2 linked regions of the Oreochromis niloticus genome follow. The protein of the gene in region 2 interacts with the protein of the main gene of each other region in a pairwise test. Links are inferred from orthologs where the notes say so. Each region holds a gene or a part of one and is shown on either strand. Other genes may lie near its edges.

Region 1 (7,797 bases), on a different chromosome or scaffold from region 2:
AATAGTTGACGCGTCGTTTGAAGCTTTGTGAGATCCTGAAAGACGCAGGAATAAGTTGTAGGATTTAAGGGTGTAATAACGGACTGAAACAGAACATCTACAAGGATGCCAGCTGCTGTTAAACACCAAAGAAGAAGAAGCAGTCTCCAGTATCGTAGCTGTGTCCAAATTCAGGGGCTGCATCCTTCGGAGGCCGCATTTGTACAGCGATTACGTTACAGCAACACGACGAAGGCTGTCCAAATTTGTAGACTCCTCCAAATGCGGCCGACAAATGAGTCCTCCTTTTCCTCAGATTTGAAGGATGGGTCGGGTGTATCCTTCGTGATCCCCAACCTATCCCAGAATTCATAGCGCGGCCAAACCAATTCTAGTTCCAACAACTGTCCAACAGCTAAGTTTCCAACTTAGTTTTAATATTACTCTTATTACTCACAAAATAAAACTTCTAAGATATTCTCAGGCAAGAAGGTAGCTGTGTAAACTTCAAATATCTGCTCGGTTTATCGAGCCATCACATATTTGCAAAAGTGCTCTGACGTCTTTGGAGACGAGCTGACGGGGAGGTCAAGGCTCACCAGAGACGGCGATAACAGCGAACTCCTGGCACATCGTTTTGAAACCCCCCGCGGTCTTTGGTTAGTCAGGTTAAACAAGTCACATACAAGTCACTTAGATAACTTAAAAATGTTATTGTTTGGCTTTTTTCAGTATTTTATTTGTTCCTGAATAAATCGGTTTGGCTGAGATTAAAGTTATAGTTTTCACACAGCTGAATAAAAGTCAAACAGAAAACTGATTAAACAGCAGTGTGAGATGGTCGAGAGTTTACTCCAGTGTCCTGTTATATTTAGATAGCAAGGAGCAGACGGCTGAGTTTATTAAACTCCACCGAGACAATCTGCAAATTTCGTTAAAAGTTTAATAAACTATCGTCTTGTCTTTATTTTTAGTTAGCACATACCTGAAACACTTAAAGCTGTAAGCTAATGATAGTTATATAAGCGCAGACGCATGCTGGTGCAATAAGCTGTACATGTTACGTCCAGTGCATGCCTGATCTGATTAGTCGACTAATTGCAAAAATAATCGGTGACTAGTCGACTATCAAAATAATCGTTTGTGGCAGCCCTACTTTAATTGTATGTTCATCATTTAGTTTCTGTAAATAAGCATTTAGATAATTCTGCCATCATTTATTATGGCTACGATTAAAGTTCACTTTACAGTTAGCAACCTTTACAACATCCATAGAGTGACTTACAGAGAAGACAACATCATAGTCTGCCCCAGTAAAAGCTTCATCGGTGAGGTCTTCAAAGTAATCAGCCAGAGCATCCAGTGTCTCATCGACCAGCTTCTCATATGTTGCTACAGACAGTTCACTTTTAGAGAATGACGGAAAGTTATAAATTAGTTCAAGTAGCCAAAGCTTAAGCAATGCTTAAGGAGAAAAACAAAAATTAAAATATTGGTTACCTTACATGCACGAGGGTGACTTTTTTCTGACTTGGTGAATTCAGGTAGATGGTTTTGCTCCACCTGCAACCATTAATTCTGCTCCCGAACCACTGAAATAGAAAAGTCCAACAACTTATTTAATTATTCTTCTCCTTAGTCCAGTTTTATGCTCAGCTGGTTTCTGACAATTATGCACCTTGTAGAGTATTTATGGCCAACTTTGAATTTTATAGTTCGTATATTTTCCATTTTGAAGACAGATCATGAAATCAATCAATGTGAAACATTTGTGACACGTACTTTTATGCTTAATAAAGTGTTGAATTTGGAGGTGCAAGGCCCTCCCTGATTTCGGACTGAGACATAAGCTAATTCTAACTGTAAGCCTCTCTATTAAACTTTGTTTACTTCTTCAAAGGTTCTGTGGGCCCTTCTAAGAACTCTGAGCATCAGAACTTTCTATAGATTTTCCAGTTGGATTCGGGTCAGGTGATTGGCTGAGCCATTCTCGCAGCATCTGGCAGAGTTCAACTTTGGTGTCATCTGACCAGACTGTATTCTCCCAGTATTTCACAGGCTTGTCAAAAATTTGTTCAAAAACAGATGCAAGAATGCCGACAGTTACACACTCATGCAATAAAGAGGATGTTTATTGTATTACAACACACAATAAGACAACTGATCGACTGAGATATTGATCATTTAAGCGAATTTTCCATTAATATGGTTTATAGTGTACTGAGGTGTTTTGAGGGTTTTATTGCTTCTTTTCCTAAAGGGATGGTTCGAAAATTCCTACACCAGCAAACAGTAAATATTTGTGATAATATTCAACTATAGAAGTAATAATATTTGAACAATTCTTCAGTCAGGACGGAGTGCAGAACAGTGAGGATGTCCATGTAGAGTTTAAACAGGCCTCACAACAGGTTGTGTTTTAATTTGATACAATTCATCTTAATTTGTTACATAGTGACGACGGTTTAGTGTGTGTGTGTGTGTGTGTGTGTGTGTGTGTGTGTGTGTGTGTGTGTGGAGGGACCATTTCTGTGCCTCTCTGTAAAAACCAGACCAAACATTTGAAGATAAACTGGAGATGGCGGTGAAGCAGGCTCGGTGATAACTACAAACCGTCATTAAGTATGTTACAGTTTAAACCCATCACCACCGAGTAAAAGCTGAACTTACGCTGTGTGAAGGCCGGCAGGCGGGATGCAGCGCGTGGTTAATGAACGGACGAAGCCCCGGGAGGTGAGATAATCTCCAAAACTACAGTGGACATAAAGGACACTGTCAGTGTGGCTCGTATCTAACATTAGCATCATGTACAGTCACACTAGACTCAGCTCGTACCTGGTTCGCCAAATCCTTCTTCCTCTGCTGTGTCAGCATGCTGAACTGTGTGCTCGCGAACTGACACATGTGTGAATAAATCCCTGGTGTCTTACAGAACAAACGCATGGTTTACTGACGGTCCGACAAATACTCCCAGTGTTTTGACAGCCAACGCTTCTTCTCCTTCTTCTTCTGCTGCTGCTTTCTTTCTTTTTCGTCATTTATTGGCGGTTGCCAAACAGCACAATGGTGCATTACCGCCCCCTGCTGGTGTGGAGAATGAGTGTGTCTTAAAAAACTAAATATGGCCTGATAATACTCGAGTTCTTAAAAATACATCAACCAAGTCCATTTTCACTTTCAGATCACCGAGCTTCTGGATCAGCTGTCTTCTTTCAGCGTCATATTTCTGACATTAAAACAGGTTTTCCTCCCACTGCTTTTGACACCTTTCTTCCATTTTCTGCCGTATTATCTGTCCTGCTAACACTGATAACCAATTCACTGATACCCATGGTACCCATAAGGTGGTGATGATAAGCCCCATCTCTCTGACTCTGTACAGTGTTTGCTGAACCTCTTTCAGAATGTCTGGCCTGCTATCTGAGTCACTGTCTTGCAAACTAGCCAATGATGAACTTGAGTCTGAGCATATCACCGATCTTAATGGTCTTGAGTCTTCAGTCCACTGGACAGCTGACAGTACTGAAACCATTTCTGTACACTAATAAACTGTCACTGATCCTTTTCCTTACTTTGACATGAAACTCAGGAACAATAAATACTATCCTGCTTTGGTCGGCTGTCTTCTTTGATGCATCTTTGTAGATTTTGACATAACTGTAACACCGATCTATATATGCCTGCACTATATGTGCGTTTAAAATAAAACACCTTTTCCTACAGCATCAGAGAGTACTCAGGACAGTGCTGATCACCGCACCACCGTGTTGCCATAATTGTATCATATTCATAAACAGGTTTTCTGCCATGTGTTTAGCTCCATCCATCTTTCCATCACCTTTGACCAGCTTCCCTGTTCCTGCTGAAAAGCATCCCCACAGCATGATGTTGTCACCACCATGTTTCACAGTGGGGACGGTACGTTCAGGGTGATGAGCAGTGTTACTATTCTGGAACATGTAGCTCTTTGCATTTAGGCCCAAATCATTCAGCTTTGGTCTCTTTTACCATTTTTGGATGATGGATTGAACAGCGATGTTCAAAGCTTGGGATATTTTTTATAACCTAACTGTATAGGAATTTCTTTTACTTGTGTATTAATCACATTATTTTATTGTATAATGCCTTGGTGCCACTGGATTTTAACATGTCTGACACCCATACTGTAAGAAGGAAGTTGGGGGAAGCAGACCACTCCACAGGAAGAATCTTTTGTCTCTTTGAGGACTCTGGGAGGTAGCAAGGGAGTGTGAACCTTAAGGTGTGAAACAGCTGTGTACTGCCTTTTGTTTCTGAAGAAGGCATTTAACTGAGAGCCATGTTAGGCTTGGGAGACTCTGCTGACTGTCTGCCCCGCGATCATGCAGGCTCTTCACAAGCTTGGTTTGTCTGTTCTTTGTGTTTGATTAAAGAATGTTAGCTACCGCTCGTCTGCAGGCTTTATTTAAATGGAAAACTTCCACAACACTAACCCTGCTTAAAATATCTACAGCTTCGTCCCTGAGCTGTCTGTCAAATTCATGTTCTCTAACAAACACTGAGGCCTTCACAGAGCAGGTGTGTTTATAATGAGACTACATTACACACAGGTGAACTTGATTGTCTAATTAGGTGACTTCTGAAGGCAATTGATATCACTGGATTTTGCTTAAGGGTATCAGAGCACAGGGGGCTGAATACACACCACACTTTTCAGATTTTCATCTGCTTAAAATAACTTAATTAACTAAGAGAGGGATCCAGAAAATGGAGCTCTCAGAAATGAGGAAAAGCAGCAGACCAATGAGGAGGCTCGTGGATGCAGTGATGAAGGGCATGCAGTGGGTGAGGAACAGGGTGATGACCCACTGTGGGCGACCCTACAGAGAGCAGCTGAAAGAAGAAGAAACAACAGGCCAACTGTAACTACAGTCATGTATTTGAACCTATTCTGTCACACATCAAGTCATCTGAAAAGACGAGTGGAGATGTATTTAAATCTCTTTATACAGTAACATGGAATCAGCTTAAATCTGACATGATATACGAACATTACTATCATCCCACTGTAGGTCAGCCAATCATTTCACTCAAACATGATACCAGCGGTTGGGCCTTGGTTTGCAGGTTTCAGATCTCTGCTGACCACACCCACTGAGCAGGAGTGGACAAATTAAAAGCTTACCTGTAGCTGTCACACATTTATCAGACTCACATGTACCACACTGAATTCAACAGGACACCTACATTCTAACACTCAGCTGTAAGATCGTTTCTACAAACCTAAAGACCTCAAAACTGAGTCATTGTGTAGATTTTTTTTAAAATTCTTTTGTCTTTTTTTAAAAATCCAATGTGCAAATAAAGGTCAGATCATTTCAAGTAAATATGAAATATTATTTTTTTTAAGTCAAACAAGTTAAAATGTTCCTGTAAAGAACATCATCAGTAAATTCATTTGAAAAGGCAAAAGAAGACAATAACAAAGTACAGGGACATATTAAAGGAATTCAGTGCTGGAACTGTCCACCATTATCATCGTCATCATCAGTGTAAGAATACACACCTTGGTGAGCTGACTTACCTCCACAACCAGCACCATGAGTGACGTGGGATGGAGTTTGTCTCCAAGTACGTTTTGTCATGGTCCTGAGTCTTTGAGCGTTTTGAGTTTACTGTGGTTCAGTGTTTTGGGGCTGGGGAGATGTTGGTGTTCTGGTTCTCTGTATGGGTTTGGTCCTGCGTTTATCTGAATCCGCTGATTCCCAGTCCCTGTGTCTCAGGGTGTTGTTTGCCTGTTTTATTTCGATAGTCTCCTGCCTAGTGTCTGCAATGATCAGTTTTGCTTCCTTTGTCTCAGTACTCTGGATTAGTGTCAGCTGTGAGCTGTTCCTTCATGTTCCCTCGTGTGTGTATATTTTCTTCGTCTCCCTTTGCTGTCTGTTGTGAGCTCCCTCATGGTACGTGAGCCGCTAACCTTCTGTTAGCCTGTAAGTCAGCTTTGTTCCAGTTTTGTTGCTTTGCCTTTTGCAGCACATAAAGCTGTGGTTAAGTTTCTGTGTGATGATTTCTTCTGTTGGATCCATGCTCTGCTTCCACGTGTCTGCAGCAGCATTGCTAATGTTGCTGTCACGTGTGCTATTATGGTCAAAGGCAGTCAGCTGCTGTTGCATTACCCCAAATGTGCTTTTACTTTTGTGTAGTATTGTAGTGTTTGTGTCAGGATGTGGACAAGTTTTTATAAAACCAGCAAAATGCAATCAGTAGTTCTCTAAGAGTGAAGTGCAGACTGAATGTTTAACAACTGAAACGTGCCCTTGTTAGACAAAGAAATTAAATAATTATAAACCATACAGAGTGATAAACAGCATGTCTCACACATCAGTTACAGGTATGATGGTATTTGTATTCACAGCTCTCAGACTGGATGTAGGAGGGGAGAAATTTTAATTTGAATCCAATGGGCTGTAAAGCTTACATCATTCTGCTGAAATAAAAGAAGTCATGAACTGATCGTTCGGTGTAATCAAACAACCAGACTCAGTAAACATACTGATTCATCCTTTAATGTCAGAACAGGAACTGTTCAGCAGAAAGTCTCTTTGATTTGGATCATCTTTAAGGTCATTGATGAATCAGTCGCCCCTTTCAGATTGGCCACATGTTTCCAGTAACCTGAGTTTTCCCAGCAGGCCCAGCTGTTCTTTCACGATGCTTCCCTGGTGCAGGTTCCTGTCTCCTGCAGGTTTACCTTCGACCTGTGAACAGAAGAGTCAGATCAGGTCCCATCATGGCATCATTGCACCAAAACAAAGACAAAATAGATTCATTAGATCTTTATTGTTGGTAGAATTAAATAATGATTATGGACATTCACATTTTAAATATAACGCAATAATTTAAATGAATTATTCATTATTACAATTCATTATAGGGAATTCTTCAGATTTTGAGAATGTGATACTGCAACAGCCCTGCAAATTTCAGGAACAGCTCAATAACACAAATCAGTCTGTTTGCTTCAGTTAAGTGCTGGTCTTCTGTTTTATTGGCTGTAGATAAAGAATCATTCAGGTAAGAGTTTGTACAAACACAAAAACATACAAATTAGTCTAAGAAGGTGGTTCCCAAACTTTTTTTGCAAGGCCCCCCTTTGTTCTACAAGAACCCCCACCCCGCACAAACACATTCTCCAACCACACACACCCATATTTTGTTTATTTCACACCTCAAACCTTTTGTAAACAATTAAACAAATATAAGTAAATTGCAATAAATTACAGGTAGCAATAAAATAAACTGCTACCTCTTTGAAATAACAGAAAAACAAACCATCTTTATGTTGTCATTATTTTAGGTGTAGTTTTTTTTTCCTGTGTAATAATATTCAACATTGCCATCAATACATTTTTCAAAAAATGCCTCTCTGTGCAAAATGGGTTTAAAAACATAACTGTGGGATACTGTTTGTCCGTGATATGGACAGCCCAGCGTGTGCTCCCAACGCAGGGGAAACTAATTCTGTCGGGGAGACCTAACTTGGCACCTTCACCTGGTTTGGAAACACACACACACACACACTTTGGGAACCACAGATCTAAAAGAATCATAGATGTGTATGATCTGATGATCAAACCACCTAATATTTACAGGTGTGCAATGAAATGTGTGCAAACGCATAATTTTGCTGCATGCATTTGTGAGTACTCATCTATACACGTATAACAACCTGAATAAAGAGTTCTTATTCACAAAATCTGATCAGTTTGCTTTCAAAAAGATTTGTGTGTATAAAATGAGTATTTGTGATATTGTTTTCTCTTACAGGTTGTTAAATGT
Region 2 (6,944 bases):
TTCGTGTCACCTGAAAATGCTTCACTGAATCCTTTGCCCTATGTCAAATGATAAACAGCATAAATGTTTCAAGTCATTCACAAGTAAAAGTACACTAAACACAGACCTGTGCATATTTAGCTTAAAAATATAGCAAGTTCGTGTTTCCTTTCTTCATCATTGTTAAGATTCACATACTTCTTTTTAACAAAGTGTTTCTAGGTGGTTCAGTATCACTGATTCAGTATCACATCTCTGTCTTTCTCAAACACACACACACACACACACACGCTTAGTGTGACTAATACTAGAATACTTGGTGAAAAACTCTAACCTTTAACCTCAACATTAAGGGGATCTGGTGACTCTGTTAATACTATACACACCAGTGAGAAATAAAACCGTAGCAGACATAGGAACAAGGCAAATTTAACTAAAAGTAAAAAATAAAGTTATAATCAGGTAAGATAACTCTGCATCTGTTGTGACATCATTGTTTTGTCACTGATCGCCTGTTACGGTTCCAAACCCATGGTGCACTTCCCTCGTTCACTCACCTAACAGACAGGGCGAAGCAGCCTGGTCCCTCATTACTGTTTCTCAGGAGGTAACTTCCATCCGTCCCATTGGACAAGAGAAGGGCCTCTGCAGCATGGCGGGACAGGTCATAGTGGTACCACCTTCAAGACAATAGTAATATGATGTGAGAAGTTTATAAAATAAGAAATAAAACCATCGTTAGAGAAATGATATAAAAGGTCTCATTTTTATCTACAGTTTGACGTGCGGCCCATCTTCTAGCTACAATTCATTCTGTGTCAAATCAATTTCTAATATTTCAACAGAAACAACAGTAGTCTTTATATAACAGCATGGACACTGATCAACTGAGCTTGTGCTCAATTTACAAAGACTTAGAAAAACTTATTTGGGACCTAAAGCTGCTTGCTCAGTGTGACATACTGAAACTTTTACATACAACACTAATGTTATTTCTCCATATCACAACCATACGTGACATTTGTGAGTTAAAATGTGACCATTTTTATTTTAACAGAGAGTGAAGCTGGAATTAAGCCTGGTATAAAAATGTAGGTTAAAATAATCTTTCATGGGCTTCATCTAACATTTTTCCTGAAGATTAGGTTCTGAATTAAAATACTGACTTTTATTAGGAAAGTGTAATGCTGAGACTTCTGTCTCATATGCAGAACCTGTATGATTTTTACACTGTTGTGCAAAATTATGTTAAAGAACAGGCTTATGTTATGATTCAAGGTCATCTGTGCAGTACTGTGCACCTCAGACTGTATGGAAATATAAAGGGAACTGGTAAAAGGATGTGAAAGTTCTTAATTTGCATTAAAAGTTGCTGGGACTGTTTAAAAATATCACTGAAGGCAACAGCTCGAGAAAAAACGCTAGATTTAAAGGGTTCTGATCATATTTTAAAACCAGCTGCAGAATTAAAGTATCAGTTTAAATTCCAAACTGAACATTAAGTTTCTGTATTTCTTGTTTGCAGGGTGGCAGTCCTGAGTTTAAATGCACCATCTGGCCAGAGTCTTACTGTGTGGAGTTTGCATGCTCTCCCTGGGTACTCTGGCTTCCTCCCACAGTCTAAAGATGTAGTTAGTGTGGTTAGATGTTAATGGGCGTGTAAGTGGTTCTCTGTGTGTCTATGGTAGCCCTCTGCCTCCCTGACAACGATAGGTGAAAGAGAATGGATGGATGGATGTTTGCAGGGTTATTGTGGTATCATATAAGACTGTTCCACAAACTCCATACTGACTTTATTCAGTGCATTTATAGTAAGACCTCAGTTGTCAGAGCAGTCTGTGGATACATCCAGAGGATTGTGGATTTGGAATTTTTCACATTTGTTGCGTTTATGGAAAGCTTCTGTAACAATTCGTGAAATATATAAGCACAGCGCACAGCATCCTGTGGTTTAATATTATATTTGTCCTTCCTCAATAAAACCAAAGTATCAACAACATTAGAACATACCATGATAGAGTCATTAAGTTATTAGGGCAGTATGACCGTAACCGTTAAATACCAGCTGCGTGTTTTCGGAGTTGAGTCTCGGGCGCAGTTTAGTTCTGTGCGGCTTTAAATCGGAGCGATTTTGTCAGCACCCGACTTCCGTAAATCAAATAAACAAACAAACAAACAAACTGCTTTAAGGAGCGGAACGGACAGTCCTGGACATCTCTCCATGGCGCTTCTTTTGGAATTGCAAGTATTGTCCTGAGTTTGATCAGCGTGCAGTGTTTACGCGCAGGAGAGATCACAACATCTACAAAACATTAACGCGACACGGAGAGAATTTATAGCTGAGCAAGTGTTAATAGACTGCACAGTGAGTCGGTACTGGAACTTGTTTTTGGCACGTTACAACTGACAATATTCCCCTGCTGCAAAGTAAATTACAAGTGTACACATAACTTACGTAACAATCTGTTAACACGGAGCAGCTGTTTAATTTTGCTTTTAGAAAACGTTATATGGTAATCATTTATGTTAGTAAGTTAGAATTCTTGTAGATTTCAATTTCACAGTTTCACAAAACACTGATTTAAGAAGCAGATCCTGTCATTCCTAACAAAATCTACAGCACAAGACAGAGAAACTGAAAATGTCCAAATACAGACAAACGAGTTAGCTCTTTGTAAAAGGCGTTTAATGTGTAACAACAGAGGTATAAAGCGATGGTCTTGCTTTTTATCATGATCATAAAATCGTGGTGGTGAAGAATCACATAAAGTATCGCTTCTAGCAGTTTACCGTTTTCAAACAGGTGAAAGCTGTTTATAATTCCCAACCCGGCCTTACCCAAGACTCGCAAGCTCGTCACTCAAGTCCTCGAAAGATTCATCACTGAAAGAACTCATCTCTCCAGCAGATTTCAGTTAATCTAAGTTCGGTGTTGGTCTAAACAAGCGGAGCGGCCAAATAGAGAAGTAAAAACTGCTCAGATCAGACACGCCTACAGGAAATACACACGCTCACCAACCACTGAATTAGGCACACGAGATACTCCTCAGGGATATTGGTCTGTACCGTGCAGCTGCCGCAGATTTGTCACCTGCACATCCAAGATGGAATCTCCTGTTCCACCCACATGCCAAAAGTCCGCTAATGGTTTGAGGTCTGGCGATTGTGGAACCTCCATTTGTGTATAGTGAACTCACTGCCTTCTTCAAGGAATCAGTTTGAGATAATTTGAGGTTTGTGAAATTTTCCAGCAATCAGAAGATGATAAAGGGATGGACATAGCAGACTGTAGTGTTTAAAGAACGCTTATTGGGTATTAAGGAATCCAATCCAGGAAATGTTTTTCCTGTGTGCTTTTGTCCAATTTTGGTAAGCTCGTGCCAATTATAGCCTCAGTTTCCTGATATTTGCTGTCAGGAGTGGCACCCAGTGTGTTTCAGTGTGTTTGAGACCCCATTCCCACAAGACTACTAAAGGAAGTTGTACAATTAATTAATACTTTAATCTTAAACATGATCTCTATTAATCGGATATGTACCACAGGCCTTCAAGCTGGCAGTAGTTGAACCATAACTTAAAAGACCCAGCTGTTTTAACTGTAGGCCAATCTCCAACCTTTTATTTACCAAATTCTTGAAAGAGCAGTTGTAAGCTAACTGATCACCTGCAGATTTGAAGAGTTTGGGTCAGGTTTCAGAGCTCATCACAAAACCTAAAAAGATTTAGTGAAGGTCAGTGTCAAAGGTAACTTTATTGTCTCTAATGAGAAATTGATTTGCAGTATGTCCACACATCGAAAACAAAAACCCCAAACAAACAAAAAAAGAGAGAACATCCCAAATTTTATCAGTAGCATCAACAAAGTGCAATGTGCAGCAGTGATGGCAACAACGCTTATGGTTTAGTGTTATTAAACATGACAATAGCAGCAGGTATAAAAGACACTCGATGTCTCTTGGTCTTCACTACAGCACTTCATACCAAGCAGCTGAAAGTCTCTAAAGAGAGGACGGTCTGAACATAACATGACAGAGGTTGCCTTCCTCAGCACCAGGCTGTTAGAAAAGACCACAAACTGGACCTGAGACCAGTTGAGCATATTCAATAAAACTTTCATAAAAAGGGTCATCATTTCAGATGAAACGTTAAAAACTCTCAATCACCTTAAAAAGTACAGTTGTTGTTGGACCTTTTTCACTGTAGCATCAAAATGTGACTCAAAGGACAGAGCTTTGTCAAGAACAACCCCCAAATACTTATAATGATCCACCAGTGGCTCATGTCACAACAGGCCCATGGGAATACTCTTCACCATGAAGGACGCTTACAATGACTGTGTCATCTGCATATTTAATGAAATGCGTTTTAACCTGTGTACTACGACAGTCATTAGTGTACAAAATATACAGTAGGGGAGAGAGAAAACAACGCTGTGGTGAACCAGCTGATTGGAAAAACAGATGTTTACTCTCACACACTGAGATCTGTCAGTTAAAAAGTCTAAAATCCAACCAACAAGGTTACAAATGATCTTGTTATGGCCTCTGGCAGTGGACTCATCTCTGTGCTTGTCCTGGCAGACCTCAGTGCAGCCGTCAGCCTCTTGACCATAATATTCTATTACAGCAATTAGAGCGTCCTCTTCATTATCTTCCTCCAGTCTCCAGTAAAACTGTTAAATCCAGAATTGAATTTAAAACCCTTGTCATCACATACAAGGTCTTGAATAATCAGGTCCCATCTTATAGTAAAAAAAATCATAGTACCTGTTAGAGTGAATTGTTAAATGTTGTCATTTTTAGGCTTACCATCTCTACATTGTTTTAACTCTGTGATGAAAGGAATTCTTCTGTCCTTCCCCCCAGATTCTCGAGGCTCTGGGTGGGGGGCTGTAGTCTTTTATTACAGACACATCCTTGTGAAGGTCTTTTTGATGTAAGCTTCCTGCCCAGCAGGAGGACACACACACACACACACATTCTTACATACATACAGAAGTTCACACATATACATACAGTGCCTTGTCTTAGAACCATGTGGGCGTTGCTTTGCTGTGATGTGTTTTGTGTGAACTGCTTTCCCAATAAAAGGCAGCGAGAGGAGGCCGGATTTGGGGTCATTTTCGTGGTAGACACAGACGAGGCCTCCCTTGCAAGTAAATCGATCGATCGCTGACTGTCTTGTTTTCTTCATGACAAATAAGTCTCTAAACCAGCGGGGCTTGTGGAAACACAGACCCAACAGTACCCAATAGAGCACTTTGCTCTTGCAGGATTACTTGAGGTTTCTACGGTATTTAAAAGCAGAATGGGAAGCAGAGCTTTCAGCTTCCGGGCCCCTCTATCTTTAAGATTATGATTTCCTTTTTGATAAATCATAGTTAGCTGGTTCAGGTCACCAGCTGAGCTCCATGTGCTTCAAGGTTCAACAGGCTGCATGTTCAGAGATGTTCTTCTGCATATTTTCATTTCATATATTCATATATTTGTTAGCTGTTGCCTTCCTTTGGGCTCGAAACAAACTGGCCACTCTCCCCCATCCTTTAGCATCAACTAAGCATTTTTGCCCAGAGAACTGCCACGAACTGAATATTTTCTCTCTTTCTTTACAATGTAAACCACAGAAAAATGACAGATCAGTAGTTTCTAAACTACTCAGACCAGCCTGCATGGCACCAACAGTCATGCCACTTTCAAAGTCCCTTTTTTCATTTCCCATTCGGTGCCTAATTTGAATATCAGAAGGTCGCTCTGATCTGTTGAGGCCATACAGCAACTGAAACATCAGCTATCCCACATTTTTGAGTTGTTTTTAGATAAAATAGGACAGCTAATCAGCAAAATTGGGCCAGTCAAAAAGTGGCATTTCTACAAATGTAACTTTAATTTACTAATATGACAACGTAATATTATTATTAATATTTTTATGTGATATTGTTGTTAACATATTTTAATGGATTTAAATTATACTGAAACACATGGATTATTCCACTCTCTTGGCTCTCTGGCTTCTCTCGACTATTCTGCTCATCTTTCCACTGATTGTATTTTTTCTCTTGCAGACATCTTTTCTGTCTCTTTTCTGTTGTGTTCAGACCCTTTTCTCTCCTCTCTGTTTCTTTTCAACATGCTGTTTGTAATGTTTGATTCAACATCTATCATATTTATCACTTCATTGTGTCTCTTTCATCCTCTTCCTTTGTGATGAGGCTGATAAACCAGAGATGCTCTGAAAGTTGACAGCACAGTGGAAATGGAGGTCATTGATTTATGGGCATTCAAATTCAAATTCAAATTTTATTTGTCACATACACAATCATACATAGTACGACATGCAGTAAAAGGCTTGTTGCTGTGCAATGCCTGACCATAAAAAACTAAACATAGACATAAAACTAAACTAGCAAGAAATTTATATAATTTACAAATTAAAAATTTGAAATTTACAGTAAAATTGAAGGTAAAAAAAAATAAATAAAAAATTTATAAATAAAAAAGCAAAAATAGAATGTGTAAATTTAACAAACTTAAGAAACTATAAAAGTGTGTAAATAAACAGTGTGCAGAGTAACAGTTGCTGATGGACAGTAATGAGAGACGGGTTCCTACAGCTGGTTCAGGGACTGAGGGAAGAAGCTCCTCATTCTTTCTGTTTTGGCCTTAAGGGAGCGGAAGCACTTACCAGACCTCAACAGTGAGAAGAGTCCATTGTTGGGATGGGAGAGATCCTTCATAATCTTCCTGGCTTTGGTCTTGCACCACTTAGTGTAGACGGACAGCAGGTCAGGAAAGGCATACTCAGTTCATGTCATCTGTGAACTCCAGGGGGAAGGGTTAGCAGCAACAACACAAGGAAGAGCGATGTCTGTGGAATTATATTAATGTAAAAAGTTCTCCATGTGAAAAAACATAATCACAATCCTCACACATAAATCAACGTAAGTGCACATGCACAAAGAAGCCATA

What was found.
Region 1: the proteins of dapp1 (region 2) and fxn interact in binary tests that used the Homo sapiens proteins (3 or more experiments, as listed by UniProt). The link is inferred for Oreochromis niloticus from reciprocal best matches to the Homo sapiens genes DAPP1 and FXN.

Annotation. Positions count from the first base shown.
Region 1 is NC_031977.2:4,560,006-4,567,802, reverse strand, and holds the start of fxn (frataxin, mitochondrial), read right to left. Parts: upstream 3,027-7,797; 5' UTR 2,923-3,026; coding exon 2,815-2,922; intron 2,731-2,814; coding exon 2,650-2,730; intron 1,572-2,649; coding exon 1,480-1,571; intron 1,386-1,479; coding exon 1,265-1,385; intron 1-1,264. Other genes in the region: hmgcra (3-hydroxy-3-methylglutaryl-CoA reductase a), read right to left, coding at 6,665-6,716.
Region 2 is NC_031983.2:3,065,792-3,072,735, reverse strand, and holds the start of dapp1 (dual adapter for phosphotyrosine and 3-phosphotyrosine and 3-phosphoinositide), read right to left. Parts: upstream 3,002-6,944; 5' UTR 2,877-3,001; coding exon 2,818-2,876; intron 660-2,817; coding exon 537-659; intron 39-536; coding exon 1-38. UniProt on the Homo sapiens protein: May act as a B-cell-associated adapter that regulates B-cell antigen receptor (BCR)-signaling downstream of PI3K.